Linked DNA regions of Caenorhabditis elegans. The protein of the gene in region 2 purifies or fractionates together with the protein of the main gene of each other region. This does not show direct contact. Each region holds a gene or a part of one and is shown on either strand. Other genes may lie near its edges. The genes, in order: Y49G5A.1, hrpf-2 and gpa-10.

Region 1 (9,414 bases), on a different chromosome or scaffold from region 2:
TGTGAAAATCTGAACGAACTTTTTTGCAAATTTTGATTCCATCCATTTTGGCTATGAATCATTCAAATTTAATATCCTGTCTGCTACTGATGATTACAGGAAATTTGGGTGAAAAGTTGAAAGGTTAATCTTTTGTAACATCAGGTTTTTTTGAAAAGTTTGATAGGTTACAAAAAGCTGCATTATTTCAGAAAAAAATTAACTAGTTGAGAGGTGAAAAACGGTTGACAATTGGCGAGTTAATAGAGCACCAAAACCACTTTCTCTAAAAGGAAGAGCTCTCACTCATAAAAGTGCTTCTCTCTTTCCGCGACTCTTTTTTCTTCTCTTTTTTCCTTCTCAATTTCTACTTTTCTTTCTTTTTTTCCTCCTTATTTTCTACAACCGATTCATTCATAGGCTATGACGTTGTGAACAACAAATGTTTCTTTTTTCTTTGAGAAAAATCAGAAGGCGTTGATGGAAAAGAAAATGTGTCGGAAATAGAGCTGAAAGAAAAAAATTGGATTAGGTTGTGATGCATCATCAAAAATTTGTTAATTTGATTTTACAGAATGTGTGAATCTTTTTTTTTCCTACAACTTTTATTATAATAACTTCTTATCAATTTGAAAATAAATAAATAAATATCGAGTACATCTGTAAGTGTTAGGACACGTGATAGAGGAATAGGGACGAAAGGAATAAAATGGAAAAGAGTAGGGGGGATGTCCCGCGGGAATTCTAGGACAACAGCAGCAACCAGTCTGACGGGGCGCTTATGGAAATGAGCAACCGATAGAAAAAAGAAGAAAAAGACCAGTTATGGCTGAAGAGATGGTGTCAGGAAATTCACTTTTGGAAAATATGGTACATCAGAGAAACAAATGGCGGAAACAGTGGAATTTAAAATTTGAAAGTTTAAAGCCGCCAATTTATAGAATCAGAACTGTTGAATCAAAACGACAAAAACATACTAAAAATGTTTCATTTTAAAGATGCTCAAAATAGATGGTTTCTTACGGTAGGTTTAGGTATTTTATAACAAATTGGAAATTTGAATGTACATGTTTTGGTTATGAATCCTGAAGAACAAAACCAGAAAAAAAGGATGGGCTATAAACGGAATGCCGGAGCAGCTCATTCACGCGTTTCCAGGAGCAAGAATCTCCGCACGCGCGATTTATGGGCATAGTGTCGACGAATGAGCCAGAGCTGTGGAGCTTATGTTTTAACGGCTTTGTACACTTTTAGGGGGTTTTGGGCACTATTTGAAATGAATCGGAATGAAGAAGTACTGTTGGCAAATTGCTCAAAATTCTGAAAATTCCAAAAGCACTCCAACAGAACAGAACTTGCCCTAGTTTTGCCCAAAAAATATTTTACCGTATTCCCGTATTCCCTCTTGCACCCGGATTCTATTTTTTACCGTATATATTACCGTATTCCCTCTTGCACCCGGCTATTCTACTTGAGTACACATACCACTCTGTTCATTTTGAAAATTTTGCAAAGTGGTTGAATACAAAACTCAAGAAAAATAAGTAGTGAACATTTTGTCAGGTGACAAATGTTTCATAAACTCAACGAAAAAGTCTATAAAGAAACGGTAGCTTGGTTTAGAACAAAGTTGATATTTTCTGGCTAGCAAAAATCGTGTTCAACAAAAAAGTAAAACAAATTAGTAAAATTTTTGAAAATGGGTTATAAATTTCTTTTCCAGTTTTTTTCAGCTTTTGGTCGAGATGTACCTAGAACGTGCGAAATAAATTGAAAAACCTACTCTATATCAGTTCTCGTATCTAATGAAGCAGAGTAAAAAACCAACAATATCCAGTGCAACGGAGCAAACTAACATCATTTGCAGAATATAAATCAAACGAAAACAAATGTTCGTTTTGTGAGAATCTTTATAAAAAACAGAAAAAAATAAGACAACATCAATCTCTGATCGTGATGTCAAAGCCTTCTCACAATGAGAATAAAAGGGGTGAATTTGAGTGGTGTTGGTTGGAATCGAATATCTTGAAGAGCTCCCCCCACACGCACTGATGAGATGTTGCCAAGGAGCAAAGGAGCAGAATGACGGGGATACAAAGGATAACGAGAAAGAAAAGGACATTTGGGGAAGACTGGAGGAAGGGAAAAAATGAATCAGAAGACATTTTCATCCACGTTGTTCTTGTTGAGAATTAGAACTAATTGGTTGATTGGACGGATTGACCGCCTTGGAACATATTCGTCCAACAAAAAATAGCTGGAATTTGTTGAAAATGGGTGCATCTAGAGCATTTACAAGTTTTTTTGACTGTACAATTCTGTACAATTATTTTTTACGGTGTTGATAAGTTATTAAAAATTTTATATTAGTAACTATTTTTCAGTTTTTCTCATTGTGGTAGTTCTAAGTAATGTAGATTTTTTTCTAAATACTTTGAATATACAGTAATATTCGAAAATGGGAAAAAATTTTCAAAAGTCCTAATTCTGAAATTACGAATTTCGAACTCTCGGTAATCTCCTTTTTTGAATTTCCTCTAAAACGAAAAGTGCAACCAATCAGCGATTTGCTCCGCCCATGTGTGAACCAATCAGACGGAGTGTGTTTAGTTCAATCTGATTGGTACGGAAATGGTTTCTCTCTATTTTGGAGGTAATTCAAACATGGAAATTAGTGTGAGCAGGAATTGGCGAATACTTTTTATATATATTTTTTTTTTAATCTATATTTTTATCGAATTTTGTTGATGGCAAAAAATAAAATTTTCTTCTGAAAAGAAAAATCCAGCATTGTAAGCAAAAAATATAATTTATTTTCGAAATATCGGATTTTGTGAAAAATCGAAAAACAGACACCCTTGATTAAAATATTTATTATTTCAAAAAAGAGTGTTTCCGAAAAAATTCACAAATCAACACCTTTAAATTTAATATTATTCCCAGAGAGGAACATTGCAACATTTTCGTTCAGTATGTCATGAATTCTTCACTAAATAAGCCATCTTCACTAAATAAGCCATGGTATCAAGGAAGTGTAGATGATAAGTGGAAAAAAAAAGAACCGGACGATGAGAAACAAGAAGCAAAAAAACGAGAAAATGAGAAGAGTGTATGTGTGTCTTTTGAAAATGAGCACTCTTTTGGAGCACAGGCAGAGCAAAGTGGATTCTGCGCTGGGAAAACACCGACTAGGCAAAGGCAGATAATCAAATTGACCCCATAGGCTAATAGTAGCTGCTTTTCGCAATAGAGACTTGACTATAATGATTCGTTTTTTTTTGTTTTCTATTTTATTTTTTGGGTTTTGGTTTTCTATTCTGACGTTCTAAATCAAAACCTTACTTTTCAGTTTTTTTTTGAAAACATACAATTACCAAAACTTGAACCCAACAACTCAGAAAGAGTTGCCATAGCACATATTCAATCAACGGCGAACAAAGTAACAAGTAACAAAATTTTGTTATTTTTTGCGGAGAATTTCAGAGAAAAGCAACTGCAACGAAAAAAGTAGACGTCGAAGTGACATGAAAAGCAAATAAGGAATCGGAAATTTGTGAGTTTAGCTGGGGGATTACAGAGGATATATTAAAAAAATTTTAGGAACAAACTTCGCATGAACGGAATAAACAAGCACGTGGACCGGAGAATTTAGGTTACTCGAGGTCTATTCTCAAATAAGGCTTTTGAGTTGGGTTAAGAAATTAGAAAATTATGTCCAAGAGATTTCCCAACTTTTTGGAAAAAGTGAATAGGTGGCAGAAAGAAAAATTGCGTTAGAGTAGTTTTTCATATATAATCTTGACTTTCAGATGTTTTGTAAAACATGTGAACAACTATAGGAGTTTTCAAGAAACTTTTCTTTCTGAAAAAAATATGATCACTTTTAAAGGCTTCCACATTTGGAGCAGGGATGTGCGGCAAATCTCAAAATTTGCCGCGCTCGGCAAACTCGGCAAATTTGCCGTTTTCAACAGACTCCGGAAAAATGTTATATTTTAGATGTATTTTGGAGCACCAAAGATATCACACATCTGATTTCTGAATAAGTTTCGTGAGCTGTGTCAGCTTAAACATCAAATTAACTCCATTTTGTGGAATTTTACTAAATTTTAGGGGACAAATTCAATAGTTTTGGGCAAAATTGTTTTGTCAAATTTTTGGTGTGCTGCAAATTTCGAAATTTGTCGAGCTCGAGCATCGTTGATTTGAAGCAATTTGCACTGGAAAAATAATCAGATAGAATTTTATCCTGATCACAATACTTGTCAATTTTTTGTAGTAGCCTATTTTAAAATTTCTTTTTTTCAAATGGCATTTATGATCTCCGTATTGGTAATCTCTGTGACCAGGAAGTGATTCAAAGAATCATTCACGGTGATACCAAGAGCGTTTATAAAATTTGCTGAACAGTTTTTTAGATGGTTTGGCCACACAACCATATTAATAATTGTTTTATTGGACTTTTAGGTAGAATTTCAGATTGGAAGATTTCTGGGTGTTTTGTCAGCTAGCATTCGACAATTGAAAGAGATTTACGGATTTTTCTAAACGAATCTATACTAGAACTTCAACCAAACATTATCCAGTTTGACCTTCTTCTTATCTAAACCAGGAAGTGTTGAGTATAGTCATTCGATTTCTTTATCTCTCAACGTGTTTATCCATTTCTCCAGTAGTATAAAACGGTGATCATTTCAATTATTCTGTCAATTTTGCAAAATGAATCTTCTTCTTACCTTTTTGGCTACTATTCTGTGTGTCAGTGAGTTAGTCTCGACACTTCAACCGGAGTGCAAACTTCCATTGGACATGGGAAAAACACCATGTAAAAATGGAAAGAAGGAGATAAGAGTGAGTTTTGATTTTTCAAAGCTTTCATGTCGCTTTTTTTTGGAAACTTTGGAATTTTTGGAAATTGGAAAAAAATATAGAAAAACATTGGTACTTTCTGAAAATAGCTATACGTTTAATTGAAAATTCCGAGAATTTGCTCAAAAACTGACTCAAAAGTCAACGTGCCGAAATAACACTGAGACTGTAAGTCTTTTCAAAATTTCAACTTTTCAAAACTTTCAACAAAAGCAAAATTATTTTCAGAAACTAAACATATTTCTCAATATTTTTATTTCATAAAATTCATAAAGTATAAAGTCTTAATAATTTACAGTACCACTTTGACCAAAAATCCAATATCCCATTGGCTTTTGAGTACAGTGGATGTGGAGGAAACAAGAATAATTTCAAAACTGAGAGTGAATGTCGATTTACATGTACTGGATGTATGTTTTTTCATTTGAATTTTTTACTTTAAACCAAAGTATTTAGATGATCAATCGGGATGTGCCGCTGGAAGTAAGCCAATAAACGATAAAAACTGCCAAACCGATGTAAGTTGCTCCATGTTTTTGAAAAAATCTGTAAAAATTCCAGGAAGAATGTGGGCCAAAAGGTATCTGTAGGTACTCTAATCATATTAATATTTGCTGTGACAAGAAGATTGAAAAGTTGATTGAAGCTGATTATGAGCCAAAATGTCCAAAAGGAAAGAAAGTTGCAAAAATTGTCGAGGGTGGAATCCCTACAACGATTGTTGGGAAGAGTTGCAAATCAAAGTTCTGTCCAGCTGGAGCAACCTGTGTGGAGGGAACATATTTTGCCACTTGCTGCAATTAATTATTTTCGGCCGTGCATGTTTATCTATATAAACTTTTTTATTAATGAATTAATATAACTAATATAACCTTTTCCAAACAATTCGTCTGAAATCTTTAGATTTTCGGACTCCAGCAAATATACAAAGCTATCGATTTGTATATGATATCCCACTGTTTTAAATGAAAAATTTAATGTAGAAGCATATTATAAAAAACCAGCCGTTTGCACGTGCTCCGACTGGCGTACGGTAAATTGTTTTAATAAATTTTAAACTGCTAATGTAAGATTTTTGTACAGTCAACACTTTTCCTGGAGTTTTGCGGAATTTCAAGAAAATTCTAAAACTTTTCCAGAGTTTCTAGAAAATTCTAGAACCATCCTGCTTTTTATGTAAAAAGTCCTAGAAGGGACAAATTTTAAGCGCTTTCAGAATTTAATTACAAAAATTTCCAGGTGCCAGAAGCTTTCAGTTTGATCAAAAAAACTAAATTTCATGCAATATGACCGCATTTTTTTATTGGGAGATTTACTACGTTTGCATTACTTTAAAAATTAAGACTCTGGCCGTTCACCAAAATTAGTGACTCTGGCCGTTCACCAAAATTAGTGACTCTGGCCGTTCACTAAATATAGTTACTCTGGCAAAAATAGTGACTCTGGCCGTTCACCAAATATAGTGACTCTGGCCGTTCACCAAAATTAGTGACTCTGGCCGTTCACTAAATATAGTTACTCTGGCCGTTCACCAAGTATAGTGACTCTGGCCGTTCACCAAATATAGTGACTCTGGCCGTTCATCAAAATTAGTGACTCTGACCGTTCACCAAATATAGTGACTCTGGCCGTTTACCAAATAAAGTGACTCTGGCCGTTCACCAAATAAAGTGACTCTGACCGTTCACCAAAATTAGTGACTCTGGCCGTTCACCAAAATTAGTGACTCTGGCCGTTCACCAAATATAGTGACTCTGACCGTTCACCAAATATAGTGACTCTGGCCGTTCACCAAATATAGTGACTCTGGCCGTTCACCAAATATAGTGACTCTGACCGTTCACCAAATATAGTGACTCTGACCGTTCACCAAATATAGTGACTCTGACCGTTCACCAAATATAGTGACTCTGACCGTTCACCAAGTATAGTGACTCTGGCCGTTCACCAAATATAGTGACTCTGGCCGTTCATCAAAATTAGTGACTCTGACCGTTCACCAAATATAGTGACTCTGGCCGTTTACCAAAATGAGTGACTCTGGCCGTTCACCAAAATTAGTGACTCTGGCCGTTCACCAAATATAGTGACTCTGGCCGTTCACCAAAAATAGTGACTCTGGCCGTTCACCAAATATAGTGACTCTGACCGTTCACCAAATATAGTGACTCTGACCGTTCACCAAATATAGTGACTCTGGCCGTTCACCAAAAATAGTGACTCTGGCCGTTCACCAAGTATAGTGACTCTGGCCGTTCACCAAATATAGTGACTCTGGCCGTTCACTAAATATAGTTACTCTGGCAAAAATAGTGACTCTGGCCGTTCACCAAATATAGTGACTCTGACCGTTCACCAAATATAGTGACTCTGGCCGTTCACCAAAATTAGTGACTCTGACCGTTCACCAAATATAGTGACTCTGGCCGTTCACCAAAATTAGTGACTCTGGCTGTTCACCAGATATAGTGACTCGGACCGTTCACCAAAATTAGTGACTCTGGCCATTCACCAAGTATAGTGACTCTGGCTGTTCACCAAAAATAGTGACTCTGGCCGTTCACCAAAATTAGTGACTCTGGCCGTTTACCAAATAAAGTGACTCTGACCGTTCATCAAAATTAGTGACTCTGACCGTTCACCAAATATAGTGACTCTGGCCGTTCATCAAAATTAGTGACTCTGGCCGTTCACCAAAATTAGTGACTCTGGCCGTTCACCAAAATTAGTGACTCTGGCCGTTCACCAAATATAGTGACTCTGACCGTTCACCAAAATTAGTGACTCTGGCCGTTTACCAAATAAAGTGACTCTGGCCGTTCACCAAAATTAGTAACTCTGACCGTTCACCAAAATTAGTGACTCTGGCCGTTCACCAAAATTAGTGACTCTGGCCGTTCACCAAATATAGTGACTCTGACCGTTCTCCAAAATTAGTGACTCTGGCCGTTTACCAAATAAAGTGACTCTGACCGTTCACCAAAATTAGTGACTCTGGCCGTTCACCAAATGTAGTGACTCTGGCCGTTTACCAAATAAAGTGACTCTGACCGTTCACCAAAATTAGTGACTCTGGCCGTTTACCAAATAAAGTGACTCTGACCGTTCACCAAAATTAGTGACTCTGGCCGTTCACCAAAATTAGTGACTCTGGCCGTTTACCAAATAAAGTGACTCTGACCGTTCACCAAAATTAGTGACTCTGGCCGTTCACCAAATAAAGTGACTCTGACCGTTCACCAAAATTAGTGACTCTGGCCGTTTACCAAATAAAGTGACTCTGACCGTTCACCAAAATTAGTGACTCTGGCCGTTCACCAAATAAAGTGACTCTGACCGTTCACCAAAATTAGTGACTCTGGCCGTTCACCAAAATTAGTGACTCTGGCCGTTCACCAAAATTAGTGACTCTGACCGTTCACCAAAATTAGTGACTCTGACCGTTCACCAAAATTAGTGACTCTGGCCGTTTACCAAATAAAGTGACTCTGACCGTTCACCAAATATAGTGACTCTGGCCGTTCACCAAAATTAGTAACTCTGACCGTTCACCAAAATTAGTGACTCTGGCCGTTCACCAAAATTAGTAACTCTGACCGTTCACCAAAATTAGTGACTCTGACCGTTCACCAAAATTAGTGACTCTGACCGTTCACCAAAATTAGTGACTCTGACCGTTCACCAAAATTAGTGACTCTGACCGTTCACCAAAATTAGTGACTCTGGCCGTTCACCAAATAAAGTGACTCTGACCGTTCACCAAATATAGTGACTCTGGCCGTTCACCAAAATTAGTAACTCTGACCGTTCACCAAAATTAGTAACTCTGACCGTTCACCAAAATTAGTGACTCTGACCGTTCACCAAAATTAGTGACTCTGGCCGTTCACCAAAATTAGTGACTCTGGCCGTTCACCAAATATAGTATTGTTTCAATTTTTTCGTTTTTCAATATAAATAAATATAATTCTCAAACCAATCAACTTCTCTCCTATTTCTATTTTTGTAAGTCCTTCAATTGACCGGTTTCAACTCTCAGAAAGTGAACAATTCAAAAGAGATGTGTGTTTCGAAAATCAATATTATGTTTTACAGATAAAGCATATTGATCAGAAATTACTGTGCATTGATCCTTCGTTTAACTATAATGTTTTCAAAAAGTTAATATTTTAATAAGTTTTTTTTTAAATTTTCTCACTCCCCAGTTTTAATTCTTTCTTGAAGTATTTTATTCTATACAGTAACCTTCTCCATACAATTTGTTTACGTTGGCGGCTGTCACAAAGACCGCACCGCAGTTTCTGCGGGAACACCAGATGGACCTAAAGAGTTTTCAAACTTGCCGACAAGATTCGGGATTACTGTCACTTTCAAAGTGGATATGTTAGTTTTTCCACCAAAATTCCATGCAAGTGTTATTTATACGTAATAGATACTGTGTTGACTGTTACAAAGTGTCATTGAATTGACCTCGCACCTGTGGAAGTGATCACTGTATCCAGTTACTCCGAGTTGCGCAACATAAGTTGATTCTTCCGAGGGTAATTCGGTGCTCCATCAGCTACC
Region 2 (11,677 bases):
TACCTATCGGCTTTAGAGACAATTTAATCAACCAATTATTTAATACAAAAATAAATTAGCAAAACGCAATTAGGAATAATAATCAAATAAAAACGAATTACCCAATGCTATGGGAAAGTTCGCGAAATTCAAGATTTGAGCTAAAATAATCGTAATTCTTTTCAAAATCTTGTGCCGCCAAAAAAAAATTGGAAAATTTTTTGAGAAGTCTCATTACAAAATTCAACCATTTCAGTATGACCCTCTAGCCCGTCTTTAATGCATTTTTATGATTTCAAAAGTTTTGTTCAAAATTATCAGTTCAAAAATATAGAGATGTTTCTCATAACAATCATGAAACTGTAAAATAATTAAGGACACATTTGTCAAAATTGGATAACATGTTATTTATTCGTCCTTATTTTTTTAACCATTTAAATGGTTTTCTTTTTTCAGGTCAATAATGAGTGTAATCGATGTGATTGCCATAATGCCTTACTACGTTAGTTTGGTACTAACTGACAATAAGGATGTATCCGGCTTGTTTGTCACTTTAAGAGTTTTCGTAAGTTTTTTCTTTTGTTAATCCTTAAATTGAATATCCAAATATTTTTTCGAACATTCTGATAAAAATCATTAATTCTTTGATCAAATCCTTCTAAAATTTACAGCGTGTCTTCCGAATATTCAAATTCTCACGACATTCCCAAGGTCTTCGAATTCTGGGTTACACTCTTAAATCGTGTGCAAGTGAACTTGGATTCCTTGTATTTTCACTGGCAATGGCAATTATCATATTTGCCACTATTATGTATTATGCGGAGAAAAAGGTCGACGCGACGAGATTTACCTCGATTCCGTCAGCTTTCTGGTATACAATTGTGACTGTGAGTTTTTCTTTGTAAAATTAAGAAACGGGGTTGAAATTTTGATTTTTACGTTAAATACTCTCCATAAAACCTTCAACGTTTTGCAAATACCTTATCCCAAATGCACTAGGAAAATGTAAATTTTAAAGTTAATATTTGCATTGGAAAAATTAAAAATTAAAATATTTTTTTTTTAATTATACAAATCACTGAAGACTAAAGGTGAAACCTATTCATACAACACAGTCATTGTTTTTCATAATAAAAAATTAATTTTTCTTTCAGCTAACAACTCTTGGATACGGAGACATGGTTCCATCAACAATAATGGGTAAAATAGTTGGAGGAGTATGCTCACTGTCTGGAGTGTTGGTTATTGCTCTTCCAGTTCCAGTTATTGTCAGCAATTTCTCTCGAATTTATCATCAAAATCAGAGAGCTGACAAGAGAAAAGCACAGAAGGTATGGTTTTTCGTTCAGTTGTAAAACCTTTTTAAACACTTAGTGATTTTTTTGCAAATTTGTTGGATTAAATTTAATCAATTTTCAGAAAGCCCGTCTTGCTAGAATTCGGATCGTTAAAAACGCGTCTGGACTAGCATTATTCAATAAGAAGAGAGCTCATGAAGCTCGGATGCTAGCATTTGAACAGGGTAAGTTGGTTTTTTTTTTCATTAGAACATTTCGTATTGCCGGCTTAAGTTAGTTATTATTGAGTTGTCACAAAAATATTTAACTTTGGAAATATAGAAAAGTATTCCATTTTGTTTTTCGGTCTCTTGGCATTTCTGTTGGCTCAAAAAAAGCAAATATAAAACATTAAAATTAAAAATTAATAAAAACAGTTCGTGATTCCGCTTGCTCAAGAGGGCACAAATTTTGAATCCGGTATAAAAAACAGATTCTGTGGTTTTTTTTTATTCCGTTTTTTTATATTTAATGTTTTAGGTTTTCGGTTACTTAATTTATTAGCAATGTGAAACATTAAAAAAAAATTATGTGTACAAAATTCTAGATTATAATTGAGATAACTCTAAAAAGTGCATTTTTGCAGGTCATCTCTCTTTCGATGCTCTCCGAGACGAAGATATCTTCGAAATCCAACATCATCATCTTCTTCAGTGTCTAGAAAAAGCGACGGAACGTGAATTTGTTGAATCAGAAGTGATGTTTGAAGGTGGAAGAAATACTCCTCCGCCCAGTGAAACAGCTTCATTGAAAGGAAAAACAAAGCGTAAAAGGCGATTGTGAGTTTTTGATTTTCAATCCTTTGAAGATTTATTAGTCTCTGGATTTCAGGGTAAAAAAATAAGAAAAAATTTTATACTATTCATCAATAAAATAAATTATCATCAAAAAAATTCACTGATGCTTTCTTTTCGTTAATGCATTTAAAATGGAAAATAATCATGAATGAAAATGAAAACTGTAGAAAATATTGTTGCGTTTTAAAATCCAAAATTCAAAAATATGCCTCTGCAACCCTGGCTAAGATGTCTGCTTGAATTCCCACCAAACATAGAACAAGGATATTAGGCAGCGTTGAAATACCATGTTTTCAAAAATTGTAGTTTCAATTATTTCTTGAATTTTTTTGAGTTTCTTCTTTGTCAGCAATATTTTGAGTATTTTAAATTAGAACCCCATTCGAAAAGTGAGTGTACCACGAAATGGTCTCGTTGGTGCAACTTTAGAGGGAATTCAAATAGCAAAATTGACAAAAGTGGAAAAACCTTAAATTCTTGATGTTGGATTTACTTCTTATTTTTGTCATTTTTCCTTGGTGATATTTTTGATTTTTGGATCACAATTTTGAGTTAAAACAACAAATCTCCTGAAATTTATTTTTTTTAGATGCTGTGTTTCAAAAGAAAATGAAGAAATGGAAGAGTTGGATCGAGAGACTCGTGTAACATTCAATCAGAATATGGATCAGGTATAAACTAACACCAGTTATTTGTTGAAAATTATATTATTAATTTCAGATTTGTGAATTACCAAAACCTGATGAAATGGAACTCAATCATCGAAATAATGACAAAATTTGCGTATCGCAACTGTAATCTACTTCTTTATTTTATTTTTTTAAAATGATTTCTAAAAATCATTTTCTATAGAAAATTTCTCTCATTGCTCTACCGGTTCCGTCTTTCTAGAAGCTAGTTGTTCTTTTACAAAAGTTTTCTGAAATCATCCCTCCCAACTATTCGGTTTCCCCAATCTCTCATCAACGATGCAATTTTGTTTTTTTCTGTAATTTTTACTTTTTCAAGTTAGAAACAAATATATTTCCATTGAACCCGTTTCCCGAAAAACTTCATATCGCTCTTTTTCTTTTTCAGTTCGAGGTGACTTTTCTCTAAATTTTCCCCGCTACTAGGAGCCTCTCCGATGATCTGCCCATTGGTGGCAGATGTCTTTCATTTTTTTTTTGATTTTTCAGATGGAAATATAAAATTGAAGTAAAATTAACTTTTTATGTGCAGTTTTTTTTTTTTCAATTTTCCAGGTCTGTCGATAAAGTTTTATTTATTTTCTAATTTTAGAAAACCACAAAGGGAATTACTTTTTTTTAACTTAGTGAGCTGGTTCATTTGTATCAGCTCATTGCTGAAAAAATGTAACTGTACAACATTCCGCTTCATTCCAATTGCATTTTAAACTACAAAAAACTTTATAAACAGATACATAAAATAATGCAATTATCAACAGTTTATCGTCGGGTTCCGTCCTCAAAGAAGATTCCTCCATCGATAGCACAATACTTTGGACAGATTCCCTTCTCTCCAACACTTCCTGCTTGTCCGGCTTGTCCAGCTGGTCCTGGATTTCCATCAGATCCTGGTTGTCCTGGTTGTCCAGATGGCCCCTTTGGTCCTGGTTGACCTGGTTGACCATTTTGTCCTGGAGTTCCTGGTTGTCCAGGTGGTCCTTGTGGTCCAGCCTCTCCTGGTGCACCTGGTTCTCCTGGAACAAGTGGCTCAGATGGAGCATCTTGACCTGGGTTCCCATCTTGCCCTGGTGCTCCTGGTTGTCCATTGACTCCTGGTGGTCCCTTTGGTCCTGGTTGACCTGGTTGTCCATCTTGTCCTGGACCTCCTGGCTGTCCATCAAGTCCAGCATCTCCAGCTGGTCCTGGTGGTCCTTGAACTCCTGGTGGTCCTTGTGGACACGGTTTGCATGGTGGTGGGGTAATTGGGTCACATGGAGCTTGTGGTGGACGTCCTGGATTTCCAGGAAGTCCAGCTACTCCAGGCTTTCCTGGACGACCTGGCTTTCCTGGGGTACCGACGGGTCCAGCTGGACCTGGAAGACAGCATCCAGAGCAGGATCCTCCAGCGGCCCCAGCAGATCCAGCGGCACCAGAATCTCCGTAAGAAGCTTGACGGGCGGTACGGTTGGAACGGATCGAGGAGACCTCGTTGAGAATGTCTTTAGCAGAACCCTTACAGTACCGGATCTCGTGATGAATACCCTTCTTCACGTGCGAGACGTAGTTGTAGACCATCGGAAGTGTGATACATACCTACAAAAAAGTTCATAAATGGGTTTTTGGACACAGTTTAATTTTTAATTCACTTCCAAATTATCAAAGAAATCATAATATTAGTCTTGTTTCTACGTTTTTACTCACCGAAAGTACTGCAACAACACTGAATGTAACAGCAGCATAGGCCACAAAGCGATACGCTTTAACACGAGTCTCCACCTCCATTTCTGAAGCCGACAAATTGTGGCTTTGCCCGTTTCTCTTATATATTGTTCAGTTTTTCAACGGTTTTCTCAACATCCGATACGGCTATGCTAGTTTTGAGATTCTAACCGATGCGCTGTGAACGAAAAACATCACAAAAAATGGAAGGATAAGAGGTTTTTCCAATTTTTCAAAAGACAATCTTATCAGTTTACATATAATTTGTGATCTTTTCCGTTTCTTTACATCAACAATTGTGGTTTAGCATGTAAATTCCGAGTGAATGCAATCATTAATTCCTTTTTTATATTAATTTTTTATTTGGCCATGGCGCCACCAAATTTGGTTTTTTCCAGAGATGCAAGTCCGCAATGTGTCGTCAAGTCTGATGCATGAAGTTCACAAGGTAAACGCGCTCCACTGCACTGTGCCTTTATCTTTCAAATTTATTTTCCTCGCAGAAAAATTCCAACAGTTTGAATTTTAATCGTTTTTTTTGCGGTTTTTTGTCTTATTTTTCAAATAATTGTCAGTTTTCTATTTTTTAAATTCAATATTGACTACAACGACCCTCTTATTATAACGAATTTTATGCATTTTCCAGTATGTCGGAACAAACAACACAACCGACAACAGAAGACCAACAGTCGGCAGAAATAGCAGTAAAAGAAGAGGAAATTGCAGTGAAAACTCAATCCGCACCTGCAGGTTCGGTTTACTCGTAAATTAATCTTTTAAACTGAAAATTTCAGATGCTCCAGACATTCATCAATCGACAATTAAGGAAGCAGACGAATCAATGCCAACAAAAATTTCTTCTGGAGAACCACCAAGAAGCCAATATATAAGATTGCGTGGGCTTCCATTCAATGCTACCGAGAAAGATATTCACGAATTTTTCGCTGGGCTCACGATTGAACGAGTCAAATTCGTATGCACAACTGGACGCCCGAATGGTGAAGCATACGTGGAGTTCAAGAATACCGAAGAAGCTGGTAAAGCTATGGAAAACGATAGAAAAGAAATAAGTAACCGATATATTGAAGGTAGGCGTGATTCTAACTAGAAAAAAACATTATTAAAGCTATTTAATTTCAGTTTTTACCGTCGAAGCGGACGAAGCTGAGTTCGAATTTCGTCCAGATCCAGATTCCAATGGAGAAGTTAATCACGTTATTCGATTGCGTGGTGTTCCATGGTCTTGCAAAGAAGATGATGTTCGTAAATTTTTCGAAGGTGAGTATAATAAGTATGTAGAAATAATCCAAATAGTCTGCCGGTGAAATGTAATGTACAATGCCTAGATTCCCCTTCCCCTCTTGAATTTTTGGACGTTAACTTATGGGTTTCCTTATTCTATCCAGGGCTAGAACCACCACCGGCGGAAATTGTAATCGGCGGGACGGGTGGGCCGAGATCGAGACCATCCGGGGAGGCGTTCGTTCGATTTACGACGCAAGACGCGGCCGAGAAGGCGATGGATTACAATAACAGGCACATGGGATCGAGGTGGGTATTGATGATGATGATGACTTATGGTAACTGCTGATTACGGGTTCATTTTGGTGAATTTTTAATTTTTAAAAAGTAATTTGTCTTTTTTCAGATACGTTGAAGTATTCATGTCAAGTATGGTCGAATTTAATCGAGCAAAAGGTGGAGGATCGGGAGGTGAGATTACAGTAGTTCACTTTAAAGGCGCATACTTGCTTTTAGGCGGGTCTTGCCACGATTTCCAGTATTTTAATTAATACTGGACCTAAACTGTCAAAATGTATATTTCATGTGAAAACTGAAGTCCTTGAAATCTCGCATTCTAATTAGACTTTTAAAGTGCACAGAAGAAGACATGATGTACCAAAAAAGGTGTAATTCATCGCAATTTCACAAAATCTTCTTAAAGGCGCACCGGTTTATTCTGATGGGCCTCGGTGCGCAATACGGTAGATTTTCGCATTTCTGTTTTTTTTTTTTTTCTTTCATTTCTCAATGAAATTATTCAGTTTTTCGCCAATCTTGCCCTTCCTTTTTCTCATTTTTCTGATAAAAAATAGAAAACGAGACAAAATTCGCAAGAAAAGAAGTGATTTAATTCAAAAATGCAAGAAACAGCAGCAAAAATTAAATAAAAACTACCATATACTCATTTTCGCGCCAAGACCCATCTGAATGAGCCTTTATTAAAACATGTCGAAATATTTGAAAAGCAAATCTGCGCACATTTCTGTTACGGTGCACATCAAATTTCAACATTTTAAAAATTGTCTCTTGAAATGCTCATTTAGTTTACTATTTATTGATATAACAAATCTTGATAATAAATATTTTCAATTTTTATTTTACAGAATACTCGGCATCTTACGAAAGAACTGGAATTCGCCCACTGATGTCCGTGGATTCAGGATATGACCACGGAAGACGAGGTGGTGGTGGAAGATACGGCGACAGCAGCTATGATCGTGGTTATGATGACTACAATCGTGGAAGTTATGGCGGACGTCGGGATTATGGATACAATGGTGGACACGATCAAGGAGGTCGCAGTGATTATGGAAGAGGAGGCGATGATCCGCTGAGGGTATGAGTATTTTTCTGCGATTGTAAAATAAATTATTTTATTTTTCAGGTGTATATGCGTGGTCTTCCTTATGATGCTGATGATCATGCTATCGCTGCTTTTTTTTCTCCACTTCGATGCCATTCAGTCAAAATAGGAATCAACGAAACTGGTCGTCCATCTGGAGATGCTATTGCGGAATTTGACAATTACAACGATCTTCAAGTCGCTCTCTCGCGTAACAATCAAAGAATGGGAAGACGGTAATTTGAAATTTATAATCAGAACATGGAATAATTATTGTTATTTGTAGATATGTCGAACTGTTTGATAATCGTGGAGCGCCTGGTCCAATGCGTCGTCTTCTTTGGAAAGAAACAAGTGGCACGAATGCATCAGCTGCTCCAGCGCCTGATCCGATTCTTAACGGAGGAAGACGTGGCGGAGGGCCACCACAACGAGACTCTGGCTACAGGGCAGGTCCTCAAGCTATGCCACCATCATACAGAGAATCAAGGGATCCATATGGCCCACGGGAACCACGAGGATACGATATAGAACCCAAATATGAACCACGAGGCATCCCACCACGCAGTGCTCCAATTCGTGCACCACCAGCTGCGCATGGCCGGGCTCCTGATACGTGGGGAAGTTATGGAGCAGCATCTACTGGTCCGAGTTATGATCAGAGCAGTGCTGCCGGAGGTTATGCTGCAAGCTGGGATGCTTATTATGCTTCACAAGCACAGTCTGCGTATTCTGCAGAACCTGCATCCACATATCCCACAGCTGCTCATTCTGCATATGGATCAGGCGAATCATATTCGTATGGAGCATCTGCTGGAGGAGCTTACGATCGTCAAAGAGAACCTAGAGACTCACAGCCAACATGGGCTCAGCAACAACAACCGTCTCATCACAGTGCTTATGGAGGATGGGGAGCTGGAGCTGGAGATCATCGAAGTGGATATTAATTATCTTCTTTTTTTTCTTTTCACTTCTGACTTCCTTTTTTCTGTTCCTGCCAAAATCCCAGTTCTTTCGATTTTCCAGACAAATGAGCATTGTTCCTTATAATCTAGTGTATCACTTTACTTTTTTCTCTGTTCTCCGAGGTCTCGGTTATTTATTATCTTGTTCTCATGATTTTCCAACGCGAACGTCTTATTTTACCTCTGTTCTGTTCAACTATCAAAATATCATGCTTTGATCTTCCTACACAATTTTTATTAATTAATAGATTTCTGAATTTGAGACTTTCATTGTTTTTTTTTTCTGTATCCTTTTTGATATTTAATGGCTGTTCGCCCCGCGTTTTAATATGTTACAATTTGGAAATTCTTATTTCTTTTTAATTAGGAAATGAGACATGGATAATTATTTCACTTCTTGGTTGTTTCATAGAATGTTGGAATGTTCAATTATATACTTGAGTGTACACTTTATTTTGTAAAATGACGATTCTCTATCACAGTCTATGCAGATGCGGCGAAAAGTCGAGACATCATGGCTGGAAGAGCTGAAAAAGCGTGTAAAATATCAAGAAACAAGTCGTCTTCAAATGGTCGAGATTCGAGAAACTTTGCTCGATAACGAAAAAGAATTGCGAAGTTTAGATTCAACATTGAAAAAGACGACGAGTTTTATGAAAAAAGTGAAGCTTCTCAGTGCGGCCACTGTTCCACAATTAATTGAAGAATTATCGAAATTGAATTTAAGCAAATTTGTTGAGGAAATGGCGTCGGTGGGTTCTTGATTTCGAATTCCATTGAAAATCGGATAATTTTTCAGGGAATTATAGAGACAAAATTGAAGTTATCCGATATTCCGAAAGTAACAGAGCTCTGCCTTGCAATTTCTGCGAAATATTCAAACTTCAGTGAACAGATGGCTGGGGAATTCAAAAAAGTTCTTCCTGTTAAAAAGAGTGACAAAATTGCAAATGTTGCAAAATTGAGAGTGGATATTATGTTAGATTGCATTAATAAGACAGTTTTCATCTGAGAATAAATAAAATATTTCCAGCTTCCTCGCTGAACTTTGCCTGTGTGGAGTTTTCAATGAAAAGGAAGGACTTCAAGTTCTCGGTGCTGTATTAAGTTATTTGATTCAAACAGATAAGACTGATTTTGTCAATGTTGGATTATTGGCTACAGTATCTAGAACTGTTGGATGGCAAATTGCAAATATTGTGCCAATTCCAATGGATGATGCTGAAACGGTCGAGATTCAAGACGGTTGTTATCTTTTTAATCAGGAGCGTATATTCATTATCAATGTTTTCAGAAGAACTCCCTGAGTCATCAGCTCTCTCAGTTGAACAGAAAAAGTCGATTCGTGAGCTCTTCAAATCATACTACGATTCACTTTATTCGAAAACCGAGAAAACGTGTTCGGCAAGAAATAAGGCGATGAAGAGAGTTAAACGACAGGAAAGAAGCCGTGGAGACGCTGGTGATGAGGAAAAGACAACTTTGAATGATCTTCAGTCTGAATTGGATTCTCTGCGGAAAATGGTACAAAAATTAATTACCCAATAGGAAAATTTGAGAAAACCCCTCATTTTAGGCTATAGAGATATCGTCTGCAATCGGTGTGGAAATGAAACCGCTAAAAGAGGAAGCTAGTGACGATGAAGAGGATGAAGCTGCCAACTTGGAGGTTTTTTGATTCGACCAAAAACTTGAACTTATTCTATATTTCAGATGGGACGCAAACTTGCAGAAGGAGCAATCAAGCTGTGGAGTGATGAAGAGACGAAGGCATTCTACGAGGATCTTATCGATCTTCGACAGATGGTTCCCAAGGATCTTTATAAAGAATCTGAACAGAGAACTCTCAGCAAAGCGAAGATGGCTGAAAGGATTGAAGATGTCGATATGGAAAATATCAATGAATCCGGAGCAATGGATGCGAAGAGATCATCATTACAACGTGGAGAGTCTGAAAAGGAGACGACACCAGAAGATTCTCAACTTCAAGCTCTTCTCAAAGAAGCTGTGGATGCATCCGAAGAACGAGGAGTCAGCAAATGGCAAAGTTTTGTACTTGATTTGGATCATCTTGTCAGCAAGTACTCAACTGACCAAGCAGCTATTTATTTTGTTTCGAATCTGAATAATAAGGGTTGTCGCAAGAGGCTTGTGAAGCTTATGATCGATCCACCTCCGTCTCGGATCGATGTTGTTCCATTTTATGCCCGACTTGTCGCTACTCTCGAGAATGTGATGCCTGATTTGACAACTGAAATCGTAACTCAACTACTCGAGAAATTCCGCGGATTTTTGCAACAGAAACCATCGTCAGCTACTGCTATAATCAAAGTGGAATCAAAGATGGTTTGCGTGATGATGATAGCTGAACTGATGAAGTTTGGAGTAATTTCTCGTGCTGAAGGACTCAGTTGTTTGAGACAACTTGTGTATGATTTACGTGGACATTCTGTAGAAATGACAGCGACATTCATGGAATCTAGTGGTCTTTATCTGTATAGACATACTGAATCACATGCAAAAATGAAGAGATTATTGGAAGTTGTGAAGGCGAAACGAGAACGAATGAAAGATCAAAGACAAGCGGTATGTTTAGATGAACTACATCATAATATTAATTCAATTTCGATATTTCAGATGCTCATAGACAATGCGTATTTCACCTGCCTTCCACCAGAAGATTCAAAAGAAGAACGTCTTCGTTTGAAGCTAGACGAAGAGGATACTCCAATGAAACGATTTATTCGTCACATAATTCTGGATATCAATGAATCAACCGTTGATGTTTTCTTAAAATGTCTTCGGAGGCTTGAATGGTATGATCCAGAAGTTGCTGATTATGCAATTCGTTATCTCTCCTCCACGTGGCTTCTTCCCATTGAAAATCTTCAACACGTGGCATCTGCGATTGCTGGTCTCTGTAATTTGGTACATCTTCAATGGATTGGAATGGCTGTAATTGATTCAACAATTGAAACTATTCGGTATGAACGATTTTCGATAGAGATGTGCGGCACATTTACACAGAAATATATATATAACTTTTTTTGTACTTTCTGAAAAAAATTGCTCTCAATGAAAAGTTTCGAGGCATTGCCCATTGATTCAAATCAGGGGTGTGCGGCAAATTTGCCGAATTTGCCGAACTTGCCGAGCTCGACAAATTTTGAGATTTGCCGCACACCCCTGATTCAAATATTAATACTGCATCGTACGGTTGTGTTAGTTTTTGAGCAACTTCCCAAAACTTTCAATTGAAAGTAACATTATTCTTAGAAACTATACATGTTTATCTTTATTTCTATTAAAATTTCCGAAAAAAATATTTCGGCACGACAATGAGAGAATATCGTTTTGTAAATGTGCCGCGCATCTCTCGTTTCCAGTTCAAGCAGCAAGCATAAGAGTTATTTCCAGAATATCCTTGGAAAATCCTGGAGTCTACAATCAATGGGCTCATTCTGCCGCCGTTTATCTTGCAGAGCTCTACAGTTTTGAGCTGTGTGATGAAGATCTAGTCTTGAAGATTCTCTATCAACTGATTTCATATCCAGAACCAGAAAATTCGTGGCGAGACCTGCACCGA
Region 3 (10,554 bases), on a different chromosome or scaffold from region 2:
AGGACACCAGAAAAACGGAAATCTGGAGCTTCCGGAGAACCATTTAGAGAAAAGCTAAAGAATAAAACGGAGACTTGTTGGAATTTATTCAAAAAAAAAATGGAATTGCATTCTGATGAAATTTGGTTTGAATTTTGAGAGGTCTTTATAGATTCGAGAGACTTGTTGAAAAATGAAGTTGGTGGGCATGGCGGCTGAAAAGAATTTGAGATGAATTGGGCAAATTATTTATGGTTTGTTAAAGCATCATGTCACTTTCGGGAAAAAATTAAAAGAACAATATTTTGGGATAAAAAATTAATTTTTTTCCAGACACTAGCATTTAAAACTAACTAAGTACACACCTCAAAAAGTACAAGAAGTATTATTATAAAATTAGCAAAAAGTTTTGAAGAAGTAATTTGAAATGTTATATCAGAAAATTTATTATTACTTCAAAAATGACTTATGCAGTTCCTCTTGCCTGCATCTGCAAAGTTTTTCTTCGAAAATAGTGAAAGTGTTATTTCAAGCGTTGCAGATTTATATTTGCTACTTGAAAATGGAAAACTCTTGAAATTAATTCCTCTGAAATTTTGAGTCCCAAGAAATCAGTCCTTATAGTCCTGAATCATGTATCTACATCGTACCAATGAAAAAAAAAGTATATATTATCTATTTTTATAACTTGGACTACAGATTTTGTGTCCATTTTTATTCACTTCTGTCCTACACATCGTTTCGTATTTTCCCAAAGACGTATCAAACACGATTTATATTTCGGTTCATGGTGATCAAAAAACCTCCACATTTTGAAATATTTTTAGAAGACAGATGTATTTTAACTGTTCCACCTTTATCACAGAAGGTTAGATGCTCTAACAATTTTTCGGTACCCCTCATACAAAAAAATATTTACATTATTTTTGTTCCTAAAATTTTTTCCCAAATAGTACAACATCCTAAAACCCTGAGAGTTAGTATTAACTTTTTTCTTAAATTATTCGCAAAAAACTCTCACAAGTTGCGGTGGTGTTACCTGATTTGTATGACAAACAACAATGGGAATGTGACGCGCTTTTGATATTTTTTAACTTATTATATTCTGAGGTTTTCTGCGCAACAAGAACAAAAACTTTTATTCTTGCTATTGTGGGAGAACTTTATCACTTTTAAAGTTAAAAACTTTAAGCCAAAACTATCTCAATCTATCAAAAAATTATTTACAACTATCACAATTCGAATTTTTGGTATAAATTTTTAAATCTTCATTTTTTCCAAACATCAGATGTTTTAACTAAGTTATTTTCTCCATTTCATAGATTTTAAACACTGCCATGTGTTCTCAAAATTGTTTTTACATTATTTAGCTTTCCACTCAGTACTTTTGCAAAATCGAAGAGATTTTTCCCATTGTATTTCCATAATGGTTTTTTTGCACAAATCAACTTTCATTTATTAGCATTTGAGTCAATTTTCACCTGTTTTTTATGTACCCCAAGAAACAAAAATCGCGTTTTCTAGTAAAGTCACTAGAGGCAAGATTTTTGAAAACGAATTTGTATATTTTTTTTAATATTTTCTTAACATTTCAAATGACGTTCACAGTGTTTTCTAACGTTTTTGCTGTTCATTGAAAAATCAGAAATCACTGAACCAGCCGTGCTGTTCAAGTCAAAATGATTCATTTTGACTCAGCGAGCAACACACACACACACTCCCCCACTCCTAATTTACGACTTGATTTTTAATAATTCTCATTTAGTGTTATTTGATTTTTGCTGCATTCATTTCAAATCTTGTACTTTCAAATCACGCTCATTTTTTGTGCTTACGTTTTGGTTTAATGCTCCATTGAGCCATCACAAGCTTCCATATTTGAGATATCATTTTTGCGACGAGAGAAAAATCATGATGTGAGCCAATTTGTTGTTGATTAGCTCTCATTTTTGACAGTGAGCATTTGTCAAGTGACCTTTTTTTAATTTTGTAATTTCTCAAGAAATATGCATTTCGACAAATACTTTTTTTTAAATTGAATTTTGAATACTTCCTTTATACAAAGACTTATGTACAAGAATTTAGAATATTCATTTTTATTGATTTTTTTGTGTCTCGTAGGGCACTCATTCAATTCCTTATTCCGTTTATGCAGGTGATACATGAGTTCACCAAACCAAAAACAGTTTTCCAGACAACGTGTCTTTCATTTCTTGGAGTTCCTAAAATTTTGATTATTCTAGTGAACGCCGGGAGATTTCGTTTGGCGTAGGAAGTGTGATAAGTAATTTTGTTATACTCTTTGTATATCAAACAATAGAAGTTCAGAACAAAAAAAAAGTTTCGGAAGTGATTCTAATCCTGAAGCTGAAATTTTATTGTTCATTTTTCTTAAATTTGAAGAAATTAAAACTTCCGGGAAATTAACTAATTTTTAAAAATCTGTACGTTTCTACAACTTCTTTCACCTCAAAATTCAAATGCAAAAACTTGTCAGTTTATCTAATTTCCTAAACACTTCGAGAGTGGGCATTTCATAGGTACGGTCGGTTTCTGGAATTTACCCTGGTCAGCGAAAAAAAAATCTGCTCGTGAGCAAGAATTCTCAAAATTGGAGATTCTGGTTCCAGCTGGTCGAAAACATAAATAAAATACGTTGTCTGACTTTTTTTTTGCTATAAATATCTCTAAATGTTCTAAAGTCACCATATTATCCCAGACAAAAATTCCATGATCTGTTTATTAATTTTCACAAAAAAATTTAGGTGATAATTCTGACATTTGTGATCTGAAATCGTTTAAAAATTATTTTGAGGTTCGTAAATGTAACTTCAAAAATCATTCTTATCAATGTTTAATTCCGGTCTTTCCAATATTTCATACAAAATGAACGAACTCCGAATTTGGCTTGATTTTATTTTAATCTTGGCATCTTGTGGTGCATGATTCGGCAAGAATAATTCAATATCAGAAAGTTCGAACATAATTTTTTTGCAATAATCTTTCCGCTTTTATTCGTTTTCAGACTCACAAAGACATTTAACTCATTTACTTTTTATTATTTTAGCTAGTGAAGTTTGAGATTTGGTCCCAGTGTTATTATTGATATCAAGACCAGATAAACTTGTTTCCGGTTTAACTCACAACAAAGCTAACGATTTCCGTTTGCGTGTCGTTTAAAAAACTTTACTCAATTGGCGTAGTTCTCTCTTTTTCAAAACGCTTTTCTAATCTATCTATTTTTCTGACCAGCTATCATAAAACCATAGCAACATAAATGTTTCCCTATAGAGCATCGGGTATTCTGTTTTTTTTTGATTGATAATATAAATATATCTCCCTCTAACCCAAATACACAACCAACAATCACATTATCTTTTTTCCTTCTTTTTGATCATTCCCACGCTCAAGTAGTCTCGCGATTTTTGAGTGTATTTCATTCAACATGCAAGTCAGAAGTTGTTCTCGTGTTTTTGTTTTGTTATTCACCTTTTAGTTTCTTTGTTACAGAGAGGCTTAATTGGGAATCTGCGGTAGTCAAGGAAACCGGGGGGAGAGGACCGCCGCTAATCATCACTACCTTCCTTCTCATTTCATTTAATCATAACTTTGCTTTTTTCCCTTTTCTTCTCTCGTGTTCTCCACAACTTTTTTTTTACATTTTTGTGTTGTCACGACTTTTAAGCCTATGTGATTTTAAATTTGTGTTGAGCTCATGCGCTTTTCGGAAAAATTTTGCGAACATAACGATTACAACTGGTTTCAAACAAAAATGTAATTTATCGCCATTTCATTTAAATATTTCTTGACTTTGACGGGTAGTGAAAAAGTGTTCAGATGTTTTTCGGTGAACCAAAATCTGTGGTTTTAGAGAAAGTTTCCAAATGTCATTTTGAACGTTCTTGAAAAACTGGTTCATCTTTAACATTGAGACAAAAAACAATTTGTGTTAAAGAAAAAAACATCCCAATCTAAAGTACAAATCTACAAATCTAAAGTAACTATGTTCTTCACGTGCTACCATGTTGCTTTTTCATGGAAAATTATGGCGTCACACAAGGTCTTGAAATTTAGGATTTACCTATCTCTCTTTAAGTCTAACAAGTTCTTTCGAAATTATATTGTCGTTTCTAGTGTTGATGACTTTTGAAAATTAGTCAACGAGTTTGGTTTCATCCCGAGTTACGTATCTATTTATTTTTTTTTTTTGGTACATATTCAGTTTGTCGCGCGGCTTTGAAATACGGGTTTCAAATAATTTTTTTTGAAGGAATGTTCTCTTGCATTGATGGATTTGAAAATTCTCATGAAAATAGTAACTTTTTTTGACGAAACTTGTACATTCTCTCTGAGCAATACAGTGGAAATTGACTTTATTTCCGGTGTGAAATCTACATTTTCGTTGCCGAAAAGTCTGTTCAGTTTGTCTCGACAAGCTTTCTGAAACTTTTTTTTTGGCATGACAACATGTTTTGTTTTTTTTTTTCTGATTAGTCATTTCATTTGTCTCGTTGTCTAAGTTGAATCTCGCTGGCATCCTATAATTAAAGTTTGCGTTCTCTATCATAATCGTCATAATCTTTGAATTATTTTTGTTCTTTCAAAAATTTCAATATATGTTCAGGGAAACATGGGGGTCTGTCAGTCATTTGTACTCACTGACGAGATGAAGGATCAGATCAAAGTTAACAAGTCAGTTTTTGAGTTACATGTTTCATAATTGTCGTTAATATTTCAGAGAAATAGAAAAACAGCTCGAAAAGAAGAAAAACATGCAATTGGAGCAAACCGTTCTTCTACTGGGGCCTGGTGAAAGTGGAAAAAGTACTGTCATGAAACAGATGAGGTATATTTGATTTTTTAATAATTCTTGTACATGACCTAATATTTTGAATTAACAACGGGAAAATAAATAGGTTTCTGATTATACCTTGGGAGTTGTGTCTGTTTCTTTCTGTTTACAGTTTGAAAATTAATTAATAACTATTATATTTCCTGTTATATGGGTAGCCAAACATTCTATTTTCAGAGCCATGACTGGAAACTACACAAAGACAGAACTACACGAACGAAAAGTGCTAATTATACAGAATTTATGTCAATTTTCTGAGATGTTGTTAGAATACGTCAGAGAATATATTTTGGAGATGACGGAAGACGATGATAAAGTGAGTTTTGCGACCTCTCGGGTTTTATTAGGTTTCAAATTAAAAACTTTTAGCGATATACTGTGATGTGCGAAGAACTGAAAATGGCGGTAATTCATGATGGAATAATGAGACCTGAACTCGCCGATACACTGAAGGAATTCTGGGGAAACAGTGCAATACAGGACGCGTATTCCAAGAGAGACACATTTCATTTGACAGATAGTGCCAAGTAGTGAGTTTTTTTTTTGGAAACTTGTAGCGCATTCATAGTTAGAATTATAGAAAAATGTTTCAATTGATTCAAAAACACGTTTCAAAAATGTCTGAAATGTTTCTTAAAATATTCTTTTATGTCACACAGTTATTATTTAAATGTTTCGAGTTATGTATATGTTTGTTCGTTCACAAATAAAACCAAACTACAGACATTGTTCGTGTATCTGTCATTTGGTCTAACGGAACATGTAATTAACAGGTCTAGAAAAAAAAAATTGTGATAGTGATCGCTGAAGTCTATGATGTTAACTTGTTTATGTTCTTGTTCTAGCAGGCAAATTTTGCAATAAAAAATCAATTGAATAACTACATTAAATTATCTCAAAATTGTGTTATTTGAACTTAATAATTCATTTTCAGTTTCTTCGACAACATCGACCGTATAAAATTGCCAGGCTTTGAACCGACAAATCAGGATATTGTTCACATACGGGTACCTACAACGGGAGTTGCACAAGTCGAAGTTATTATGAACAATATCAAATTGATGATTTGCGATTGTGGTGGACAACGATCTGAAAGACGAAAAGTTGGAAATTTAACTATTTCTTTGTTTCCTAATTGAGAATTTAATTTCAGTGGTATCACTTTTTCGATGAGGCTGACGCTGTTCTTTTTGTAGCGGCTATTAGCGAGTTTGATCAGAAGTTAGCGGAGGATGAAGAGACGGTAATTTTTCCAAACAGCCACAAAATTGAAACGAAAAATTAAATTTTAGAACCGTATGCATGAATCCATCAGATTGTTCTGGACAGTTTTTAATGGAAAGTTTTTCAAAAAAGCGGCAGTCATACTTTTCCTGAACAAAATTGATTTGTTCGAGGAGAAAGTAAAACATGTGAAGATTAAGGATTACTTTCCAAAATTTGAAGGTTTGTTTTCCAAGTTTTTGAATTCATAGTTTCATGTTTCAGGAGCAAACACAGTTTCAGAAGGTACAAAGTTCTTTCGGAGACAATTTAGAGAAGGGATTCACCCGGACTTCAAAAAAAGAATGTGAGTTTTTGAGACTACAGTTTTGTGTCTACTGCACTTTTGAAAATCTAACTATGAACTTACAAACTAAAAGAATTCTGAACGTATTCGACTTCTTGGATATTTTTGACTTTTTTGTGCCAGTATGGAACACTAACAGTACTAGAAAATAAAATGTAAATTTCAAAAACGTAATTTTACAGGTACACCCATGAAACATGTGCAATATCGGATCAAGTTCAAATAATCATCAATACAGTGATAGATACAGTTATTCAAGATAATCTCAAAGATACGGGAATGATATGAACTCCAATCGCTCTGCACAAATTATTGTTCTTCAATTTAGTATCTGCCTCAAACAACGTGTGTGATTAGTAATAATTATTCCCTATTCTATTTGAGTGGTGTCATTTTTTATTGATTGAAATTTATCGTGACTGAAACTCTGATGAAAATTTGTACTAATTTTCAGTGTAAAGTGAGAACCAAATAAGATTAAAGGAACATACATATTTATTCGAATCTCTTTTAGAAGAAAAATGTTCAATCGTTTTTACCTGACTTTTCACATCTTCTCAAACAAAAACATGCGACAAGATAAATGGACAGAATTCCAAAAATATACGGAAAGATAATAACAAGGTATACATCTAAAAGATTTCTTTGAATGAATCCAAGTGTCCTCCCATATGGATCCATTTCCGGGAACGGACCAAATTTTGCAACAAATTCAGTGTATTTGACTACGGTCTCCTTGGGATTTGTTGGTTGGTTTCTCAACATTTCTGCCAGTTTTTTAGAGTTCTTCTTAAAATGATCGTCGTTCAAAATTGAATAAATGGAATTTTTCACAAGTTCCCTTTTCCAAAGATCGTTTCGACTACAAGAACTCCTCCATGTCTTGCCAACATCAAAGAATTTCTGTTTTGATCGGCAAATACTGGTACCATTAATGCTGGTTTACCAAGATACGCAAGTTCAGTTGTGCTACCAAGACCTCCATGTGTCATGAATGCTGTTAAACGGTCATCATTTAGTAATGCGGTTTGAGGAATCCATTTTGAAAAATGAATATTTTCAATTTCTTCTGCTCATTGCAAATCATTTGTTTCATATTTCCAAATAAGCGTTACATTTGGTAAAGATTTAATTGCATTGAAAATTTCGTCTCTGAAATACATATCTGATTAATATTTTGATTACAACAGTGTGAAAATTATTAAAATAATTATAACTTGAATATGGAGTGGAGTTTTTGGAGTTTTTGCCTGAAAAACTGGCTTGAAAAAAAATGAATTCATGGCTCGAAAACTTCAAAAAAAAAAAAAAAAAAACTTCATAAGAAATAAATTATCAAAATATGAAAAATAAGAAAAAAATATGAAAAATAAGAAATAAATTATCAAAATAAATAGAAGCTTTTAGTCAAATGTATCTCTTTTTCAAAATATGAACCTTTAAAATGTCAATAGTTTGATGCATTTTCAGTTGATAAGTAGGCAAATCTTTCAGCTTTTGTGAGTCTATCGACTGAACAGGAATGGTTCATCTAATAGAAGTCACCAGGTTTACATAAGTCAAAAAAAAAGAAGACGATGTCTACTAATATCTACATACGTACCTGAACTGTGAAGGCATATCCACATTATCAATGAACCAAAAGAGATTAGCATTGTTTGTGGTCTTTTATCCAAAACTTTACTCCACTCCACTGGGAGCCTTTTCGATTTTATTTCTTCCATATTCACGGAAATTCCACCAATTGGAACTGTCTTTTGGGTAATAGTTCTTGGAAAGTCTACATATGGAATTGAATTTGTGAAGAACAATGAGCAAGCTGGCATTAAATCTCTCCAATGTGGAACGCTATCTCCCAAATATTTTTTTGTAAATTTCAGTTTCTTTGTCCCAAACTCCAAAATCTTTTCTATATATTGCTTGTGTCATCTGATAGTTTTCCACTTTTTCAGTTAGACCCATCTTATCTCCACATTTGCTGTACATTCCAGGAACATAACTGAAATCGATAGATTCCCCAATCGTAGAAAGAACACCGTCGAAGAACATATACAACGATGCCATTATGATTTTTTCAATTCCTAGAGCGTGCATGTACCCGAGACCACAGACAAGTTGCGGTTCAAAGATTCCAACATCGAATTTTTTGGACTTCATTTCGTTAAAAACTATCCTGTTTCTCATCAAATTACTGCATGCCAATTTAAATGCGTCCGTGAAAACGGAGAAGATCTAAAAACTCAAAATACAAATAAGTTAATATTTTCAAGACTTTTTCTTACGGTGTCTGCGTTAGAAGAATCGACATCAGTGGTCCAATATTTTGTCATATCACCATCGAGTGGTTGATTTTCTCGGGGCATCTCCTCGTCTTGCTGACATTCAAATTTTGATAATGTGTCAAATTTAGTAAAATTAAAAGTGAAAATGAAGATCTTACAAAGGTTTTCTAAATTAAAAAAACCTACTTGCATCTTGGCAATTTTCTACTAGATTAAAACTTTTTTTAATATTTATGAGAAAAAGTTTTTGATAAAATTGAATTATCTACATATGTCTGGACTATTTGTTTTAAAAAATTGTAGGTGTTTTATTCTAAACTTTTTATTTTAGAAAAACCATATTTCTCCTAAATTACACAAGTATTTTGAAAGAATTTGCATATGCTAGAAAATATAAGAAAATGATGTACTTTAGGGTCATTTTTAAGACAACTTAATATACTTCTAGATTATTATAAGTTAGTAACTTACTGATCTAGATGGGTAACATTCGATAGATATCAAAAATAATAGAAATGATGACAAAAATTGTGGATTTTTGATTGTTATCGTTCGGTGTGATTTGTGACAGTATCTTTTACATATTGTATCTTGTAGTAAGCGCTTTTTTACAAAAAAACAACGTAATGATTACATCCGAGAAAGAAATGTACACTTCAATGTTCTGAAATTTCTAAATTCAGCGGTTTAATAAATATATTCAATACAATTCCTCAAGGCTTTCGTGGTATGTATTATATACAGAATGACATTTAATTAACATAATTAACTTTTAGCATAAAAACTATAAAAATTCGATTTTAAAAACCGGTGGGCACGTGGGCTGAAGCTCAAGAAATGTTTCCAAAATTAATTTTCACCCTGGACACGTTTTAAGCATGCTTGCCTAGGTGTCCACCTACGGCCTATTTCTCGGGTTTTGCACACACTGCGAGTTTGGTGTTCATACTTTGTAGCCTCCTTCTTTGATTTCAATAAATTGCTTATCAGCATTTTTGTTCACTTATGGGAAAATTGCGTTACCTAAATGAGAGGACAATGTCAGCTGGTCATTTTCATTTCAAATATCTTTTCCTGGAAAAAGTGTTCCCAGTGTTGGCCCTTTTTATATCATCTTCAGCCCTTAAACTCTAATTTCTGGTCATTTCTATATTCTCCCACACATATGCACATTCTTGTTTTGTACGTTTTCACGCCGCTTCAAAATACCGAACCTCGACCTTTTCGGAAAGGGTGGGCATGGACGGGGGTTAATACACAACTGAATCCAAATTCCTTTTCTGTTTCCAATTTCCAAAAAAAACGACGATTCTTGGTGAAGAGATGAGTGCATTTGCTGCGTCTCCCCCTCTCGTTACTGTTCACTATTTTTCAACACAGAAGCATCCCTCAAACAATCAAATTTCTGCTCAACATCATCTCGACGCGCGCGGCGTGAACGAAGAAAATCTGCATCTTATTATAAATGTCGAGGTGAATTTGTGCGCGCGCCGGTTGTGGCTCTGACAGAGGCAATGTGCTCCCGAAGAGCACCCATCGTCGGCTGGGTCCGTCGAGAGCAGACGTTTCTCTCGAAGATGGCTTCTAGTTTTGAGTTGTCTGATCTTTCAAGGTAGTTTCAATATAATTTCTTACATTAGGCTGTAAACTCTCTACATTCATTGTAAAATCATTTACTATATATAAAGCGCTTATTCTGTGTGTCCATAGTTTGTATTTATTCTGTGTGTCCATAGTACAAAAACATTTGATAAAAAGCATTTGAGATTGAAATTTTAGTCTCAAAAAATATTCAAAAAACTCAACAATTATCCGAAACAATTATATTTTCTATTATCATTTTAGTGTATCCAACTAAATTGATATGTTTT

The links.
Region 1: the proteins of hrpf-2 (region 2) and Y49G5A.1 fractionate together in Caenorhabditis elegans (co-fractionation; one large-scale study listed by BioGRID). This does not show direct contact.
Region 3: the proteins of hrpf-2 (region 2) and gpa-10 fractionate together in Caenorhabditis elegans (co-fractionation; one large-scale study listed by BioGRID). This does not show direct contact.

Annotation. Positions count from the first base shown.
Region 1 is NC_003283.11:5,282,645-5,292,058, reverse strand, and holds Y49G5A.1 (BPTI/Kunitz inhibitor domain-containing protein), read left to right. Parts: upstream 1-4,685; 5' UTR 4,686-4,698; coding exon 4,699-4,830; intron 4,831-5,146; coding exon 5,147-5,258; intron 5,259-5,304; coding exon 5,305-5,366; intron 5,367-5,409; coding exon 5,410-5,652; 3' UTR 5,653-5,716; downstream 5,717-9,414.
Region 2 is NC_003282.8:6,369,993-6,381,669, reverse strand, and holds hrpf-2 (RRM domain-containing protein), read left to right. Parts: upstream 1-5,146; 5' UTR 5,147-5,147; coding exon 5,148-5,250; intron 5,251-5,294; coding exon 5,295-5,588; intron 5,589-5,640; coding exon 5,641-5,778; intron 5,779-5,906; coding exon 5,907-6,051; intron 6,052-6,148; coding exon 6,149-6,213; intron 6,214-6,887; coding exon 6,888-7,120; intron 7,121-7,168; coding exon 7,169-7,362; intron 7,363-7,412; coding exon 7,413-8,073; 3' UTR 8,074-8,536; downstream 8,537-11,677. Other genes in the region: shl-1 (BTB domain-containing protein), read left to right, coding at 436-544, 651-866, 1,134-1,310, 1,399-1,501, 1,903-2,095, 2,703-2,784, 2,834-2,911; bli-6 (Nematode cuticle collagen N-terminal domain-containing protein), read right to left, coding at 3,562-4,374, 4,483-4,563; smg-3 (MIF4G domain-containing protein), read left to right, coding at 8,583-8,843, 8,891-9,069, 9,125-9,336, 9,386-9,615, 9,668-9,760, 9,805-10,677, 10,729-11,075, 11,509-11,677.
Region 3 is NC_003283.11:6,848,859-6,859,412, reverse strand, and holds gpa-10 (Guanine nucleotide-binding protein alpha-10 subunit), read left to right. Parts: upstream 1-4,601; 5' UTR 4,602-4,609; coding exon 4,610-4,671; intron 4,672-4,717; coding exon 4,718-4,825; intron 4,826-5,008; coding exon 5,009-5,147; intron 5,148-5,200; coding exon 5,201-5,361; intron 5,362-5,765; coding exon 5,766-5,934; intron 5,935-5,984; coding exon 5,985-6,074; intron 6,075-6,123; coding exon 6,124-6,277; intron 6,278-6,319; coding exon 6,320-6,401; intron 6,402-6,583; coding exon 6,584-6,689; 3' UTR 6,690-6,892; downstream 6,893-10,554.